Saccharomyces cerevisiae S288C: one gene and its partners. The protein of the gene in region 1 binds, or shares a complex with, the protein of each later gene. Each region holds a gene or a part of one and is shown on either strand. Other genes may lie near its edges. The genes, in order: CGI121, BUD32, PCC1 and KAE1. A codon is read from its position in the direction of its gene.

What was found.
Region 2: the proteins of CGI121 (region 1) and BUD32 are in contact, whole or in part, in a crystal structure (PDB 4WW7), measured with the Saccharomyces cerevisiae proteins. Residues at the interface, in NP_013676.2 of Saccharomyces cerevisiae: Ser4 (codon at 2,503), Ile6 (codon at 2,509), Pro7 (codon at 2,512), Gln8 (codon at 2,515), Pro10 (codon at 2,521), Gly50 (codon at 2,641), Glu51 (codon at 2,644), Tyr54 (codon at 2,653), Ser55 (codon at 2,656), Tyr58 (codon at 2,665), Lys59 (codon at 2,668), Ile62 (codon at 2,677), Glu63 (codon at 2,680), Tyr66 (codon at 2,689), Asn67 (codon at 2,692), Asp159 (codon at 3,074), Phe160 (codon at 3,077), Gly167 (codon at 3,098), Arg170 (codon at 3,107), Ala171 (codon at 3,110), Val173 (codon at 3,116), Asp174 (codon at 3,119), Gln177 (codon at 3,128), Leu178 (codon at 3,131); in NP_011778.1 of Saccharomyces cerevisiae: Tyr12 (codon at 2,255), Leu13 (codon at 2,252), Thr14 (codon at 2,249), Asp16 (codon at 2,243), Val17 (codon at 2,240), Thr35 (codon at 2,186), His36 (codon at 2,183), Pro37 (codon at 2,180), Tyr38 (codon at 2,177), Leu39 (codon at 2,174), Pro40 (codon at 2,171), Ser77 (codon at 2,060), Arg78 (codon at 2,057), Ala81 (codon at 2,048), Tyr84 (codon at 2,039), Leu85 (codon at 2,036), Pro87 (codon at 2,030), Val91 (codon at 2,018), Pro92 (codon at 2,015), Gln93 (codon at 2,012), Leu94 (codon at 2,009), Ile95 (codon at 2,006), Ala96 (codon at 2,003), Cys97 (codon at 2,000), Asp98 (codon at 1,997), Pro99 (codon at 1,994), Tyr100 (codon at 1,991), Asn101 (codon at 1,988), Trp105 (codon at 1,976), Glu107 (codon at 1,970).
Region 3: CGI121 (region 1) and PCC1 share a complex: the UniProt entries of both Saccharomyces cerevisiae proteins name them as parts of the EKC/KEOPS complex.
Region 4: CGI121 (region 1) and KAE1 share a complex: the UniProt entries of both Saccharomyces cerevisiae proteins name them as parts of the EKC/KEOPS complex.

The regions. Positions count from the first base shown.
Region 1 is NC_001145.3:203,149-207,047, forward strand, and holds CGI121 (Cgi121p), read left to right. Parts: upstream 1-2,493; coding exon 2,494-2,949; intron 2,950-3,055; coding exon 3,056-3,145; downstream 3,146-3,899. Other genes in the region: YMD8 (Ymd8p), read right to left, coding at 1-955; LFT1 (Lft1p), read right to left, coding at 1,238-2,260; AMD1 (AMP deaminase), read right to left, coding at 3,280-3,899. UniProt on the Saccharomyces cerevisiae protein: Component of the EKC/KEOPS complex that is required for the formation of a threonylcarbamoyl group on adenosine at position 37 (t(6)A37) in tRNAs that read codons beginning with adenine.
Region 2 is NC_001139.9:1,015,472-1,019,536, forward strand, and holds BUD32 (serine/threonine protein kinase BUD32), read right to left. Parts: upstream 2,289-4,065; coding exon 1,503-2,288; downstream 1-1,502. Other genes in the region: APL6 (AP-3 complex subunit beta), read right to left, coding at 1-1,279; SAY1 (steryl deacetylase), read right to left, coding at 2,496-3,770. UniProt on the Saccharomyces cerevisiae protein: Component of the EKC/KEOPS complex that is required for the formation of a threonylcarbamoyl group on adenosine at position 37 (t(6)A37) in tRNAs that read codons beginning with adenine.
Region 3 is NC_001143.9:623,295-627,125, forward strand, and holds PCC1 (chromatin DNA-binding EKC/KEOPS complex subunit PCC1), read left to right. Parts: upstream 1-2,569; coding exon 2,570-2,607; intron 2,608-2,682; coding exon 2,683-2,911; downstream 2,912-3,831. Other genes in the region: MLP1 (Mlp1p), read left to right, coding at 1-2,138; ESL2 (Esl2p), read left to right, coding at 3,499-3,831. UniProt on the Saccharomyces cerevisiae protein: Component of the EKC/KEOPS complex that is required for the formation of a threonylcarbamoyl group on adenosine at position 37 (t(6)A37) in tRNAs that read codons beginning with adenine.
Region 4 is NC_001143.9:510,584-515,012, forward strand, and holds KAE1 (tRNA N6-adenosine threonylcarbamoyltransferase), read right to left. Parts: upstream 2,577-4,429; coding exon 1,416-2,576; downstream 1-1,415. Other genes in the region: CAF4 (Caf4p), read right to left, coding at 1-50; SPC34 (Spc34p), read right to left, coding at 327-1,214. UniProt on the Saccharomyces cerevisiae protein: Component of the EKC/KEOPS complex that is required for the formation of a threonylcarbamoyl group on adenosine at position 37 (t(6)A37) in tRNAs that read codons beginning with adenine.

The DNA of each region.
Region 1 (3,899 bases):
CACAAATTGTCAACAAAAAGACTGCAAAACCAGGTAAAATTAACAAAACAATACCCCTCACAATGGATAGGACGGTAGTTTCCGTGCCGACACCGCCATTGCTCGTATCAAGCCTAAATATGCTAGAGCTGAATATACCAGGAAATGGTTTTTCCACAAGTAGCGAGGTAAGCAACAGAGTAATGCCCATTATAGGAGCTAACTGGTGGATTGTATGAATTGGGTGAGGCTTGGATTCTCCAAAATTCTCCAGCATTTTGTTATTGGCGAGGTTAACAACAGGTTCATTATCGACATTATCTTCATTTTCCGTGAAAAGGGCACCATCAGATTCCTCTACTGCTGCAGCGGTGTTAGTTTGAATTGGGTTGTTCCTAAGCATCAACTGCGTATAAACCCACCTTAACCCAGAAAGACAGCTACTTGCTAGGACAAGAAAGCTGCCAAAAATGACCAAGGCTTGGTCGTTTTTGGTACTGGTGGAATCGCTTGGTTTGAAAACCATTAATGCTACACCAACAAACATAATTATTACTGAAAGTGCCAACTTCCAATGAAACTTTTCTAGCTTGAAGATACAGCCGAATAAAAGGACAAAAGCTATGCTCGAAGATTTGATAATTGTATAAATTGTCAAGGGAACATACTGGAAGGAAACGTTACTGAGCCCGATATCACCTGCAGAAGCGACTGCCGTAGGGAGTAAAAATTTTAGAAAAAAACTCCAGTTAAAACCATTATTCTTTCTTAAAACGTTTTTCACTGGCTTATGCCTGAGCTTAATGTATATGCCGGATAGTAACCATAAAGTAGCCTGATGGAATGTTGTCACCAACACGGGATACCCAATACCCAATCCGTCCTTCGGATCGAACATCCATCTATTGTATATGGAGAGAGCTATTGAACAGAAATACCATCCAAATACAAATGCCAAAAAGACAGTCCTATTCATAGCAAAATGTGACACGAGAATTGAAGGTATAAACACTCGCTGTAACAACTTCAAGTGATCGTGGAAGTGATGAAAATGCAGTTATGAGTATAATCAGGCCAATTGACACTTTAAAAAAACAGAACAACAGCTTCTCGTGATGCCACTATCCCTTATATTTCCAGTTCTAAGCCATCTCCTTCTCATTCTCGACAAAAAAAATGGGTGTGATTATTTTGCGCTTTATTTTTTGGCGTCTCGTCGCCGATGACTCTAATAGATGTTGAAGCCTACAAGCATCTATTATATTTTCTTCTTTGGTTGTAATGGGATGAATGAATCTAGAGTTAATGAAGGAGTGCTGGCAATGCTGGGCTCGCTGGATGGATGATAACTAGATTGTGCAGGTACCTGTTCAAATCCATCACCATCATCATGTTCACTGCATCCAGTGTTAGTAACTGCGGGCTCGTGTACTTTGGGTTCAGCTTGTTGATCACTCATACTCTCTTGCTTTGATTGGATGGTATTTTTATCACTGAAAGTTGTATCATCGTCAGGTGATAGGCCAGATTTTTGGCTTACCTCATCCTGAATTTCATTTTTGGCCTCTATAGGCTTTTCGGATTTCTTTTTTGAACCTGATTTAGAACCAGAATGGCCCCAAAATCCAAAAAAACTCTTCCTTTTCGACTTATTTTTCTTTGTCTTATCACCGTCTGATTTCTTCTTTTCTTTGGGCAATTCCTTAACAACGAATTTCTGTAGCGGGTCCACTTTGAAATCGGAATTAGCCCACGTAGAAGGTTTCTTGCCATCAGCTGTATGTGCCTCATTTCTCTCAAATCTTTCTTCCACCATCCAACTTTTGCTATTGGGCTTTATACACTTATCAATCTCAGCAGAAGCTCTATCAAATAACTGACTGGTAGTAGTAATTTTGGGCTTGTTGCTTCCTCTGCTCGGAGAGCCCTGCTTGAAGGTTGTATTTATAGTTTCTTGATGAGAAGTAGGTGCTACATTATGACTCCAGGAAAATAGAACTGGCCCATCCAGCTGTAAAGCGCCAGAATTCATAGTTATGGTTTTTTCCTCATCAATCCAATCTCTTTGTATTTGCCGACATTTCCCATCAAGTTTGTCGGTACTCAATTTATTCCCCATTTGCATAGGTGAATGAAACAAACAGTTCATCAACCGCCTACCGTTCGCTACTTCATCTAATAACCCATATAACGACACATCTCCATTTTTGGCTTGCTCGGAGTCATCTTGCGGTGTGTATTCCTTACTGAACAACTGGTCGATTATTTTGTTTTCGTCCATAATTTGTCCTTCCCAAAAAATAACCAGCTTAGATTCTGACAATGCTTGTTTCTTTAATTGATGATCTGTAATATTCGTTGATCATTAATACCATTGATTTCAATATTTCATGTTTAATCTTTTGCGCGAAAATTTCAATTGCAAACCAAAATATACATCAACAATCTTTTATCGGTCAACAAATTTGTCGATATAACCAAATATACGTCGTCGCTGCCCATTATACAATCATCATGGTAGTATCCATCATACCGCAATTTCCTGATATCAAGGTTTCACTAGCATTGTTTGAACAGGTTAAAAATGCTAAAGAAATACGCTCTAAAATGAGTGAATTGTCGACATCCTTTGCCTTTATTGACCCCCGGTTAGTCTGTTCGGGGGAGCAGATGTATTCTGCAATTTACAAGACCTTAATAGAAGTGAAATATAACAAGATGAGAACAAGAAATTTGAATTCCGAGTGCGTACTATGTCTTTCACCCACTTCCAATATTAGTGATGCTTTCCTCAAATTCGGAATCAAAGACGATTCGTCACAGTTAATATGCCTTAAGTTCCATACTAATACTGACGATGTAGACAAAGAGCAATTGAGGACGATTATGACTTCTATAGTAAAAGGACAAGAGATCGAGTTTAATGATGACAATTTATCGAGATTTTATGACGAAGCGCTCATAAGAAAAGTATGTTTTAATAATAAATTCGAGGTAAAAACTTCAACAGCCTCACCAGAAACACATTGTACTAACTTCACCTTTGTTTTCCTTTTATTTTGTTTTTACCTATTAGATCTATAAATTAAGTGATGATTTCAAGCCCCAAGACGTAAATGGTCTCTCAAGAGCTTTGGTAGACGCTATTCAATTGAGGGGTGTGTAGATAAGAGATATCTAACGATAAAATTATAAAAAAAATTCTTTGATTATTTTTCAGATTAGTATTATTTGTTCTCCGTGAAGTCAGTGTATCGAACTGCCAAAAGTTCTCCTTATATACATGTGCGCGTATAACCATCACTTTTCTTCAATGGTTCTCTTGAAATTGGCAAAATGATTAACTAATTCCAGTTCAGTTGATAATGTATCGTATCTGTAGTTAATTCTAATATCAGGAACATTTGTTCTAACCACATCGTTACCTTCAACACCACTCTTGTCAAAATCTTTCCCTATCCAATGTTTTTTGATTTGTGCTTCCCACCCACTTTGCAACACGGAATTTCTTGCCAATTCACACATATCTACATTAGACAATTTATAAATTTGTGCTGCAACTGAGTATTCTTCGATTAATGGTTCTCTGGTATATGAGAATTGTAAAGGATCATCTGTGGATAGTGAGACATTCAAACCTCTTTTAAAGTATCTCGGAAATGGGTTTTTATCATAGGTCAAAAATAATGCGTTATTAGAAAGGGGTGACATTGCGATACCAACCTGATCTAAATAGTATAAGTATTGAACAAATGGAACTTTCCTCAATAAAATACCATGTGATATACCATGTGCCAATAGATATGCTGAAACGAGATGCTCGGGGTCACCGGCTTCACCACAATGTGGTCTCAAAACCAAAGTGTTAAACCCTCTCTTAGCCCTCCATTGATTCAAAGACGCGACATTTGAATACAAAT
Region 2 (4,065 bases), on another chromosome or scaffold:
TTTCTGGGAAATGAGCACTGGCAACATAATATTTCAATTCTTTGAATATTTCTTTAACGTTTGATTCATTTATTAACGTGGACAAAATTTGGATCTTCCAAATTGATGCCACAATAGGATCTTTGGGGAAAACGTAAAATTTCTTGGTGTAGGGTAAAAATAGTGTCTGGTCTAAGATCGATAAGAAGTGAATTGCTTGTAAAAGCATTTCTTTGTTACCTTGGTTTTCTGTCATGGTTACCGTTCTAACCAATGCTTCAATAAATTTAGTATTTTTCATCTGCAATGGTGAAGCTAACTGATATAGCGCATTGCAACACGATAAAATCACTGTAGGGTTGGAACTATAAATTAAGCAATTCAAACTCTGTAGAAATAAATCTAAATCAGGGTCATTTACCACCTCGTAAGATGGGTATTCAATCTCGTTGTATTTATCTGGTAAAGGACAACTCCTTGGGGAACCTTCTGATGATTTATCGACCACAGTTGGTTTTGGTAAATACTGCTTACAGTACTTGATTAGCAGCTCAATTAAATATGATTGTGACCACGAATCTAGTTGCTTAATTATTCTACAATATCTGCGAAAATGTCCATGCAATAGCTCCAAGTGATCCGCATAACATTCTTTGTAAGCTAGGACAGCACAGGATATCACCTTAGGATCTGTATCTGCCATTAATTCTTTCAGAATATCCAACAATTCTTCATGATAGTCATTCTTTCCAGCCCTATATAATTTGATAATGGCCAAGGCGACTTCACCACGAACCATTGCAGATGGATCTGTAACCAATTTCTTGACAGTATGCAAAATTATAGGTGCTAATGATGACATTTTCATGTCAGAAAGGGCACTCAAAGCAAAGCATCTCAGTTCGGAATTCGAATCAGACAATGATTTTTGAAGAGAATTAATAGATAACAGGGTCAGGTTTGGGTCATTTTCTGCAAATCTAAGTAAATACAGGTGAATAAGTCTTTTCACTTTGGTGTCATTAGTGGTGATATTCTTTACAACATCAGCAAAGTATAATTGAACGTCAATAGAGTCATCATCGGAAGCCATTATAGATATTATTCTCTTCATTGCATCTCTAACTTCTCTAGAGTTCCTAGAATTTAACAAGGTGACTAACTGTTGAGGATTGATGTTTTGAGAATAATAAGTATAGGAGGATTCACCCAGCTTAGAGGTGGCTACCGCGGCAGCTTCCCTCGTTATTACTTTGGCCGTATCCAACGCCGATGCAATACGGTGAATTGAATCTACCATTGCTGGTTGTCCACTTTTCGATTGTTTGCTGTCTTTGGTTTACCTTTCTTTTCTTTATATATTTATATATATGGTTCTTCAAAAATGATTTGTCTGAATTTGTCAAAATCTCAATAACTCGGACACGCTTTGATGGTAACATACCTAAAAGTTATGTACGTTAATATAAATTATAGATACATATTATGTGCAGCGATATACAGGCAGTACGCTAGCATTTATATTATCCTAGCATACTTCTCTTACGACCACGCAACCTGACCTCTTCGAATCTTTTGGTAACTTCTTTCAGTTTCTTGGCACCTTTCGCACCTTGTTCACGATAGACCTCTTCGAACCCCTCCATGATCCAAGCATTGTATTTTTCCGCATGCTTCGAATGTGTACTTAAAATAGCTCTCTCTAAGACGTATAAATCGACGCCTTTATCTTCGACCAGGTTTGAAACTGAGCCCAGACCGAAATCAATCAAATGAGGCGTCCATCTCGCACCATCTCGCACGAGAACAATGTTAGAACTTGTCAAATCACCATGACAGTAGTCATTCCAGTGCAACAACCCAATTTGGCGCCCCACTTTCCGTAGTGTAGTTGCTACAAGATCACTATATGGATCTTGGTCATGCATCCAAAGGAAGTTCTTTAGGTTACTAAAACCGTGCCCTCCGGGAAGATCTTCTCCAAGGAACTCTAACCAAATGAATCCATTGTATGGATCACACGCTATCAGTTGAGGGACACATAGCCCTGGAATCAAGTATAATTTGGCCAATAAACGCGACTCATTCAACGTACGATGTTTTGTTAGTGCCTGGTCTATTTGTGGATGTCTATAACGCTTTGGTGGCCTATATTTGATAATATACTTTTGATGAGAATCCTTTGCTCTTGGGAGATATGGGTGAGTAGTCGTTGTGAAAACAATGGCTTCTGCACCTTGAGAAATAGGTGCAATGTCCACATCAGGAGTCAGGTAGGAAGATACTTTATCAATGAATTCTTGCGTCATAATGAGCAAAGCGTATAACCTTTTCCGCTGTCGTATTCATCACTTATTTGATTTCAAGTAAGGTTATCTTTGTCCTTCAAGTTGGTGATGCGCCGGCGATTTTTTCAACCTTGTTGCTGCTAAAATAATGGAAAATCAAAATAAATTTGTGCTGACCCAAATATTTATGTATATAAAAGGGGTTATGTAATTGTCATTATGACAAATTCAGGATTGCATAAACTCAAGAATGCGAGCGATAGATGGTATGTTGGTCCAGCGATCCATATTACGAGAGTAGTTTAATATTGGGCCCGTATGATAACCTTGGTGTTCAACCAGCACATTTTTGGCGGTAAAGTGGTTACATCCCTCGCTAGCGTCACTCATTTTCTTTGCCAAGATCTTGTTTTGAAAGCTCAACAACTCATCACTACCATAAGTAATCATCACAGAGCACTTTTTCAGAATATCTTGCCACATTTTAGTTTCGAAATTCTTTTCAATATTAACAAAAGGGTCGCTGGTAAAATCGACGTTTGGGTTGTTTCCTACAAACATTCGCCCAAACATCGAATGACTCTTCAAACATAGACCATCCCATTCTTGTGTTCCTTGCATATATTCCTTTTCTCCCTCGTGGAAGAAAGTGGCATTGGCCCAGGGACTTATGGCTATGACTTTTTTCGGGTATATTTCTCTGTGACACTTTCTTAAATATAAAACAATGTTCAAAACAGCATTGCCACCAGCAGAATCCCCCATAATCACTACATTTTTGCACCCCATAGTCTTAACAACGTAATCAAAAATGGCCACATTTTGTAAAATTTGCAGAGGGTACTTTTTCGACTGGTCATCGGTAGCTGTAACGGTATAATCTGGTACAAGAATGGCCATTTTAGGAAAGGCATTTCGCATATTATTCAAGAAAGAAAACGACGTAGGCGTCAATTTAAGAGCATAACCACCCCCATGATAGAATACTAAAACTGGATCTGTCGTGGGGTCAAATCCTTCCGGCATAACATATTGATAAAACTTTGTGCTAACTATTTTGGGTGCGTTTAATTGATGGTCTTGGAAAATATTGTTTTCTGGAGATTTCTGATCTTCTATAGGAATGTTGCATTTGACATATGTTGGACTAGAAAATGTAGAAGGATATAAACAAACAAATAAAGGATTGAGCACGTATTGACAGATGCGTTCATCGAGGATCCAAGAACTTTGTCTTAAAAAACTTCTGTTGACATGGTCAAGGCAAAACCTACGTTTGCGTTGAAAAATGATCTTCATACTGTCGAGGATTATAAATACAGGCACCACTGTGAACAATAGAGCGGCAAATTTCAATCCATGGAACAAATGCAAATGGATGGTACTCAATCGAAAGCCCGCATCATTTTGATCTGCATCCTCACTTGATACAGCGCTAATAATTTCATTCTCTTGAAGCCGATAATATTCAACTTTTGAGTCGAGACCAGAGTTGGCTGCCATTCTTCTTTGAAACCTTTTCCTTTAAAATTGATTTGTGCTGTTCTCATTTCAAGCGACGCAGGGTATTTTTGGTTTTCAGTTTCTTTTTCCCTCAATTCTATATAATTATGGCGCTAACACGTTAAACATTTGTTATTATAAAGCAGAAGTTATTTATCAGAAATCAAATCATGAATATTCTCAGCTTAACACTACACAATTACTCAACTAAAAGAAAGGGTATAAACGTGTTAGCGGGAGAATTGTTTTTTAAACTTGTTTTTATATCAGAGTAAAATCTATATATTAATTGATA
Region 3 (3,831 bases), on another chromosome or scaffold:
CTGAAAGAGATGCAAAAATGTTGAGACAAAAAATTTCTTTGATGGATGTTGAATTACAAGATGCTCGTACTAAGCTAGATAATTCAAGAGTTGAAAAGGAAAATCATTCTTCCATTATTCAACAGCATGACGACATTATGGAGAAATTAAATCAATTAAATCTATTAAGAGAAAGTAACATAACATTGCGGAATGAGCTGGAAAACAACAATAACAAGAAGAAGGAACTGCAATCTGAATTAGATAAATTGAAGCAAAATGTTGCGCCTATCGAGTCCGAATTGACAGCCTTGAAATATTCTATGCAAGAAAAAGAGCAAGAGCTCAAATTAGCTAAAGAAGAGGTTCATCGTTGGAAAAAGCGCTCACAAGACATATTGGAGAAACATGAACAATTGAGCTCAAGCGATTATGAGAAGCTAGAAAGCGAGATAGAAAATTTGAAGGAGGAACTAGAAAATAAGGAGCGTCAAGGAGCGGAAGCCGAGGAAAAATTTAACAGGCTGAGAAGACAAGCGCAAGAGAGATTAAAAACATCAAAACTCTCACAGGACTCATTGACTGAACAAGTAAATAGTCTAAGGGATGCAAAGAACGTGTTGGAAAATTCCTTGAGTGAGGCAAACGCGAGAATCGAAGAGTTACAAAATGCAAAAGTAGCACAAGGTAACAACCAGTTAGAAGCAATAAGAAAATTACAAGAAGACGCAGAAAAGGCTTCAAGAGAGCTTCAAGCCAAGTTAGAAGAAAGTACGACTTCTTACGAATCTACGATAAACGGCTTAAATGAAGAGATTACAACATTAAAAGAAGAAATTGAAAAACAAAGGCAAATCCAGCAACAGTTACAAGCTACATCTGCAAATGAACAAAATGACTTATCTAACATAGTTGAGTCTATGAAAAAGTCTTTTGAAGAAGATAAAATCAAATTCATCAAAGAAAAAACCCAAGAAGTTAATGAAAAAATACTCGAGGCCCAAGAAAGGCTAAATCAACCTTCCAATATCAATATGGAGGAGATTAAAAAAAAATGGGAATCTGAGCACGAACAGGAAGTATCTCAAAAGATTCGCGAAGCTGAGGAAGCCCTCAAAAAGCGAATCAGATTACCCACTGAGGAGAAAATTAATAAGATAATCGAACGAAAGAAGGAGGAATTGGAAAAAGAGTTTGAAGAAAAGGTTGAGGAGAGAATAAAATCAATGGAACAATCTGGAGAAATAGACGTGGTGCTTCGAAAACAGCTAGAAGCTAAGGTTCAAGAGAAACAAAAGGAATTGGAAAACGAGTATAACAAAAAATTACAAGAAGAACTCAAAGATGTACCACACTCAAGTCATATCTCAGATGATGAAAGGGACAAATTACGAGCAGAAATCGAAAGCAGGTTGAGGGAGGAGTTCAACAATGAACTGCAAGCCATAAAGAAGAAATCCTTCGACGAAGGAAAGCAACAAGCAATGATGAAAACTACCCTTTTGGAAAGAAAACTTGCCAAGATGGAATCTCAATTGTCAGAAACAAAACAAAGTGCCGAGAGTCCTCCGAAATCTGTTAACAATGTACAAAATCCATTACTAGGATTACCTAGGAAAATCGAAGAGAATTCAAATTCACCATTCAATCCGTTACTTTCCGGTGAAAAACTCTTAAAGCTAAATTCTAAGTCTTCATCAGGTGGATTTAACCCTTTTACCTCGCCATCCCCAAATAAGCACTTACAAAATGATAATGACAAAAGGGAGTCGTTGGCTAACAAGACAGATCCACCAACTCATTTGGAACCCAGCTTCAACATTCCCGCCTCAAGGGGTCTAATATCTTCATCTTCCACTTTGTCAACTGATACAAATGATGAAGAACTTACTAGCAACAATCCTGCCCAAAAGGATTCATCGAACAGAAATGTTCAATCGGAAGAGGATACAGAAAAAAAGAAAGAGGGAGAACCTGTTAAAAGAGGAGAGGCAATAGAAGAGCAGACGAAATCCAACAAGCGACCTATTGATGAGGTAGGAGAGCTGAAAAATGATGAAGACGACACTACAGAAAACATTAATGAGTCAAAAAAGATCAAGACTGAAGATGAGGAAGAAAAAGAAACCGATAAGGTGAATGACGAGAACAGTATATAAAGGAGATAGTAAAAACAAGGGATCAATACAAACTAAACCTTTTTCAATGTGGAGGAGCTTCATTCTGCCCTATGTCAAGACCATTTGTAATATACGTACAACAGCATTCTTGTTTCATAAAGTTTATATATGTATAAGCTAAGATGAAGTCACGTAAATAGCTCAAATGCCGATTTTTTAATACTCCAAACACAGAATCCTCTATATATGGAAATGGAATCATGAATCTTACGGTTTGTGTTTTGAATGTTCCAAACAGATTTTCTTAGTGTTCCGATCTCTGTTCCACCCACCAAACGAGAAAAAAGTAGGTCTTCGCGAAAACTCCAGCGACACCGCTGGTCCTTTAAGTTAAAATAATATGAATGGTGGAAGAACCCAGATCAACTTGACTGAAACAAGTCTGCCAACATAGACAGCTAAGAAAATTGATGACAAGCAAACGGGAAAAGTCACTGGATCACACATTGTAAGTAGAAGCAGTTTTTCAATGGGAAGACCGCACTGCATAGTTTACTAACTATTTAAACTTTCCAAACATTAGAGAACTAAAGATACCGTTTGAAACGGAGCGACAAGCGACCATAGCAACCAAAGTCCTATCTCCGGACCCGATTTTGAAGCCACAAGATTTTCAAGTAGACTACAGTTCCGAGAAAAATGTCATGCTAGTCCAGTTCAGAAGCATTGATGATAGGGTGCTTCGAGTGGGAGTTAGCAGTATCATAGACAGTATCAAAACCATTGTGGAAGCCATGGACGTTCTATCATAAATAATTAGAACACCGTATTAGTGTACATATAGTATAAGTATCTAGACGGCATTCATGCACATCATAACTTAAATATTTAAAATAGCATTAAGATAAAAAAATAAAGAGAGGTATAGTTGCTAAATGTCCTGGGGTTGCGTGTAAATAAACAATTGTTTGCTTTGAGTAAAGCAAGCATGTGGATGGTAGATGAGGCCTTATTTACTCCCATTAGCTGGGTAACGCAGAAAGTTTTAATATGAAAGGGTGACGGCGCTTGGCGTTTTTCTTGGATTGTAGAAGTCATGCTAGGCCCTTGGAGTAAGATAAGAGAGAACAAATAAAAGCTTTGGCAAATATCAACTCAGACGTCTTTTTTAAAGAGGATATAGAGCTTTGGTGTTGGCCTATTTCCCATCGCTGTTAAATTTCCGCTTTTTTGTTTTTTTTTTCCCTAAATTTGAGGAACAGCTGTTTATATTGATTTCCTTCTTTCCTGGTGCATATTGGTTGAATCATCAACGCTTAACGACTAACAAATTAGATCCAGAGTTACAGACGGGTGAGATTCATATATAGACCGAAGGAGTTTCACAATCCACTATATTATGCCAGAAACCTCTGTTCAGAATCCATTAAGGCTTTCTGAAAATGAAAATACTCGTTCGATGTTTCTGTCTGCATCACAGCAGCAGCGGCCATCTGCCACTCCATCCTTCCCTAGGTTGGTACGGAATACCACAGCAAATTTGAGTTTATCAGATTTTCAAGTGTTAAATCCGTCTTCTAAAAGGCAAAATTCAAACTCGGTTTACGATGATATAAATAGCAGTAAGAGGCGAATAAGTAGACCTAGATTTTCAGATATCGAAGGAAAAAATAATGACCATACTTACCCAGAAAGAACAACAGTCAAGGAATCAGAGAAAAATCCTTCTCCC
Region 4 (4,429 bases), on another chromosome or scaffold:
ATTGGTTTAGCTACCAGAGAGCTTTCTCCTCTAGTATCGCCCGAACCCATATAGAGATACTCTTTTTTACTCTCGCTCGTGGTAATCTTATATGTCATTCATGGTTAGTTTTTTTTTTATGACTATTTTTTTTTTCCATTACGATGAGGAAAGTTTATGTGAGAAACATGAAGCTACATGCTTTAACAGGAGACAGACCCATGGTGGATCCGCTCAGTTGGTTTTATACATTTAGATGTAAGGTAATACATAATTATATGATTTGCAGTGGCCTATGTATGCAATTAGGACAAAGGAAATATCTATTCTTGAGGAGAAGTGCTCCCCTACTCTTGCAAGTTGGCTATCTCCATTTCTAGCCGCCTAATTTCATCTTTTTCTTTTCGAATAATCTTAGCAACGTCGTGAGAAGAAGAAGGATGGTACTGTGACATAGTCTTTAAGCGATCATCTTGAAGCAAAACTTCTTTCTTGATGAAGCGCAATTTGGAAGAAAGTTGTTCATAATTATGGTACAATTGGTCGTAATCCTGCTTGAACTCTGTTAGTGGCCATAAATCTGTTACTTCGGCCATAACTTTAAGAATTAAATCAGTAGGGAAATCCTCGACAAAGATGGTTTTTCTTCTTTGGTTATTGGATTCTTCTTCCATGAGCACGCTTCCATTTTCCAAGGCATATAGGAGCCTTTGAATTTGCGGATCATCCTTGAACACGGCTGATAATGCTTTGAATGTACCTGAACTTGAATTTGAAATGACAGAGGATCCTATAAGATCGGTATCAAAAATAAAACCGTTCAAGCCACCGCCACTTGTAGTGGCGGTTCTTCTCCTTTTATTGTTCAAATCAAGACGATCTTTGTTCAAATATACTTCCTTGGGCACATGGATGATCGGTTTTTCCCCTGGTCTGCCCAGCCTTCTATTTCTTTTCATGTCCGTATCTCGTTTAATAACATAGTCGAATACTCCCTCCTTGCCGTCTCTACGTGAAACGGATTGTTTCTCAGGGTTGACTTTGAACAGAAGATACGCCTCGTCGTGGTTACAGTCCTTTATTAGTCTAGTAATGTCTTTTCTAATGCTTGCCTTGTTGCTTGCTCCCTGTAGGATGGCATTATGAAAAATTCCTGGTGGCTTGAAATAGAGTGTGGACATAGAGTCCACCGCCCTATTAATATCATCTATACATCTATCCAAGCTTTCCCCCATTCTGTAATTGCCACGTCTTATTTTGTTAGGTGATGATCTAATTTTTTTGAGCTTTGTTTATTGATTATTTTCAAATGTCTCTTGCTTATTTTCGCGCTTCCACAAGGTTATACACTGAGCTGTAAATGTAAGGTGTATGGCATATATAAATATATATATATATTCGTAGTGTGAACATTAGGCTAACTGTAACAAAAATCGTTAATCACGCCAGGCTGCGTATACTTCATCGGTTCTGAATTTCTGCGTAACAACAGTTTCAGAAAAGTCCTTCACGATCCCACCCATTCTATACTCTAGTAGTCCTGCTTGGGCAATCATAACTCCGTTATCGATACAAAACCTATTATCTGTAGCATGTACTTGCCCATTGGCCCTGTCTTTACACATTTGCGCCATCATTTCTTGTAATCGCACGTTACAACCAACACCGCCTACGATCAAAACTTGATTGGAGTTAACGTGAGCCATAGCTCTTTCTGTTATTTCAACTAGCATGGCGAATAGGTTCTCTTGCAGAGAGTAGCAAAGATCCTCTACAGTGACTTTTTGCTCGCCCGTTGTCTTGTCGAATAGGATCTTATTTTTCTTATTGCCCTTAAATAGATCCTTGGCAAGTAAATCGATGGAAGCCAATATACCACTCATCGAAAGATCCATCCCCTTTACTGTATAGGGAAGTTCTACCAAGTTTTCTTTGTGAGGGGCTTTTTTAGCTAACTGCTCGATGTTGTAGCCAGGCGAGGGCTCATTAGGTATCTTCAGAGTTCTTGCAAATCTATCAAGACAATTACCGATAGCAATATCAAGCGTTTCACCAAAGATACGGTACCTTTTTTCCGAGTATGCAATAACTTGTGTATTTCCACCACTTACATACAGTACCACAGGATTTTGAGCTTTAGTGATTTCTCTCCCCATTTCGATGTGACCAATGCAGTGGTTTACTCCCACCAGTGGCACGTCCCACAGTAAGGAGCACGTTCTGGCGGCGATGACAACTGAATGCAGAGGGGCCCCCATGCCGGGACCTTTGGTAAAGCAAATTACATCAATGTCTAGTGTCGGGCTTTTGATGTCAGCTTCGGCCAGTGCTTGTTTTATGAGTCTTATGCACCAATTTCTGTGATGCCTTGCCGTGTCTCGAGGCAAAAATCCCTCCCCAGGAGGTGTGACATATGTGTCTCTAATATTAGAAAGCATCTCAGCTTCGCAATCATAAGATAGATCGCTGTTGGCATGTTTAGGCAGAAGCGGATGCTTAACTATACCAACGCCCAGTTTATTTGCAGAACCTTCAAGTCCAAGCGCAATGTAGTAGTCCCTGCCATTTTTGGGTGGGATAGTGTTCAAGTTGACCATTTTGCTCCCGACTGCATTAGGGAACGCTTGGGAATTCCCTTCACGTAAAAGATAAATATATGCATCGTTGCACGAAGTAAAAATGGTTACTCTCGAACTCATCATAATGAAAGAATTCAGTTTTTCCGTATAAAGCGATATTACAGGAGGAATAAAAAGCAAAATAAAAAATCTCCGCGACGGGGAATTGAACCCCGATCTGGCACGCGACAAGCGCCCATTCTGACCATTAAACTATCACGGAACGTTATTTGTTGGATTTTTTCTCTTAGTTTTAAATATTTATATTTCGTCGAATTGGTACCTCTACAGCTCAGAAGCAGATGTCTTCAAGTTTTTTTATTGTGTCTAAATAAGAATCAACCATTATCTTGACAAATGGGTGAATTTTAAGATAATTGTTGGGATGCCATTGATGATAAAGACTATAATATACATACACAGAATATACTAGAAATTGTACTCGAGCACATAGGAATCCTCAAAATGGAATCGATATTTCTACATAATAATACTACGATTATTTTCTGCTTTCGTTTTATATGTTTCATTATCCTATTATATTATCAATCCTTGCATTTCAGCTTTCATTAGATTGATGACTATTTTTCAACCTTATGTCCTCTTCTTACACCGCATATGATAGTATACTAGCAATATGAATATTACTAAACAGATGATATTTCAACATCATGTTTTGCTTAGTAGACTCTTGCGGGCGTTCCATCCGTGTGAAATACATCATTTACACCTCGCTCTGGGTCAAGTAATCAAAAAATACCTCGTCGAATATCTTCGACAAATCTGTCGCTTGGTTTATGTTTGACCTGATGTATATAAAATCATCACTACCCAATTTAGAGAACACATTGCGTTGCCCGGCCGGCAAAAAATCCTGGGCCAAAAGTTAAAAGAAACTTTCTCATACTCACTCTGAAGTTGTACTATTACGAAGCACTAAAGCATTGATAGATAAATCAACACAGAACATACATGATTAAATTAGACACAGCTCTCTGTATTTTTTACTGTTTGAACTAAGGTTCTAATACTTACACATTCTTTTCAACCCATCAGATGGTGTCTTGCCCCTGCTTACGTAACCTACAACAATAGATTAGACACACCAGTGCCAAGGACAATATGTTGCGTTCTGACTAGTCGAAGTATCATTACGCTGTGCAGATCGACCTGACACCAGACACAAAGGAGAATAGGGGCAGCATGAGTTCCGTCGGCGACTCATTCCGACCTTCCACAGGTCCGTTGATTACTTTTTCACTGATCCGGTGGAATCTATGGTTGTTTTTTTCATCATGATATCTGTTTTAGGACTTTTTTTTTCAGCCGATCGCTTATCTGCTCACTAGAATCGTAATCAGTGATATTTTTATTAATAATTATTATTTATTTTTTTTTATACCATTTCCTTTTGATAAGGGGTCGTTGGTGCCGTGCCGCTATCAGGCAGCCTCACTAATCTACCCATTGACCTCATGCAGCAAAGTCACATCGCCCATATCTCTCGAGTGCGATAACGGGGAACTTGATTTGGTAACTGATAAGATTGTTAAATGTCAGTTTGGATGCTTTTTCTTACGTCCGATTAGCTTATCTTCTGGAGCAACCGGCCATTTACCTCCTCATAGTAAATTAAACATGATAAGCGCATAGTTGGGGCAACACACCTTTCTTCCGGAATTCGCTCTGGATGAGACATATAAAGATGAAGGTGAAGTCCACTTAAATGAATGTCAATGAGACGATGTTTTTTCTCCTAGATTGATTTTTGAATTCCTTGTATACAAAGTCTTGTTTTCTTATTGTCCTCAACAAAACAAAAGTAGAAAAGA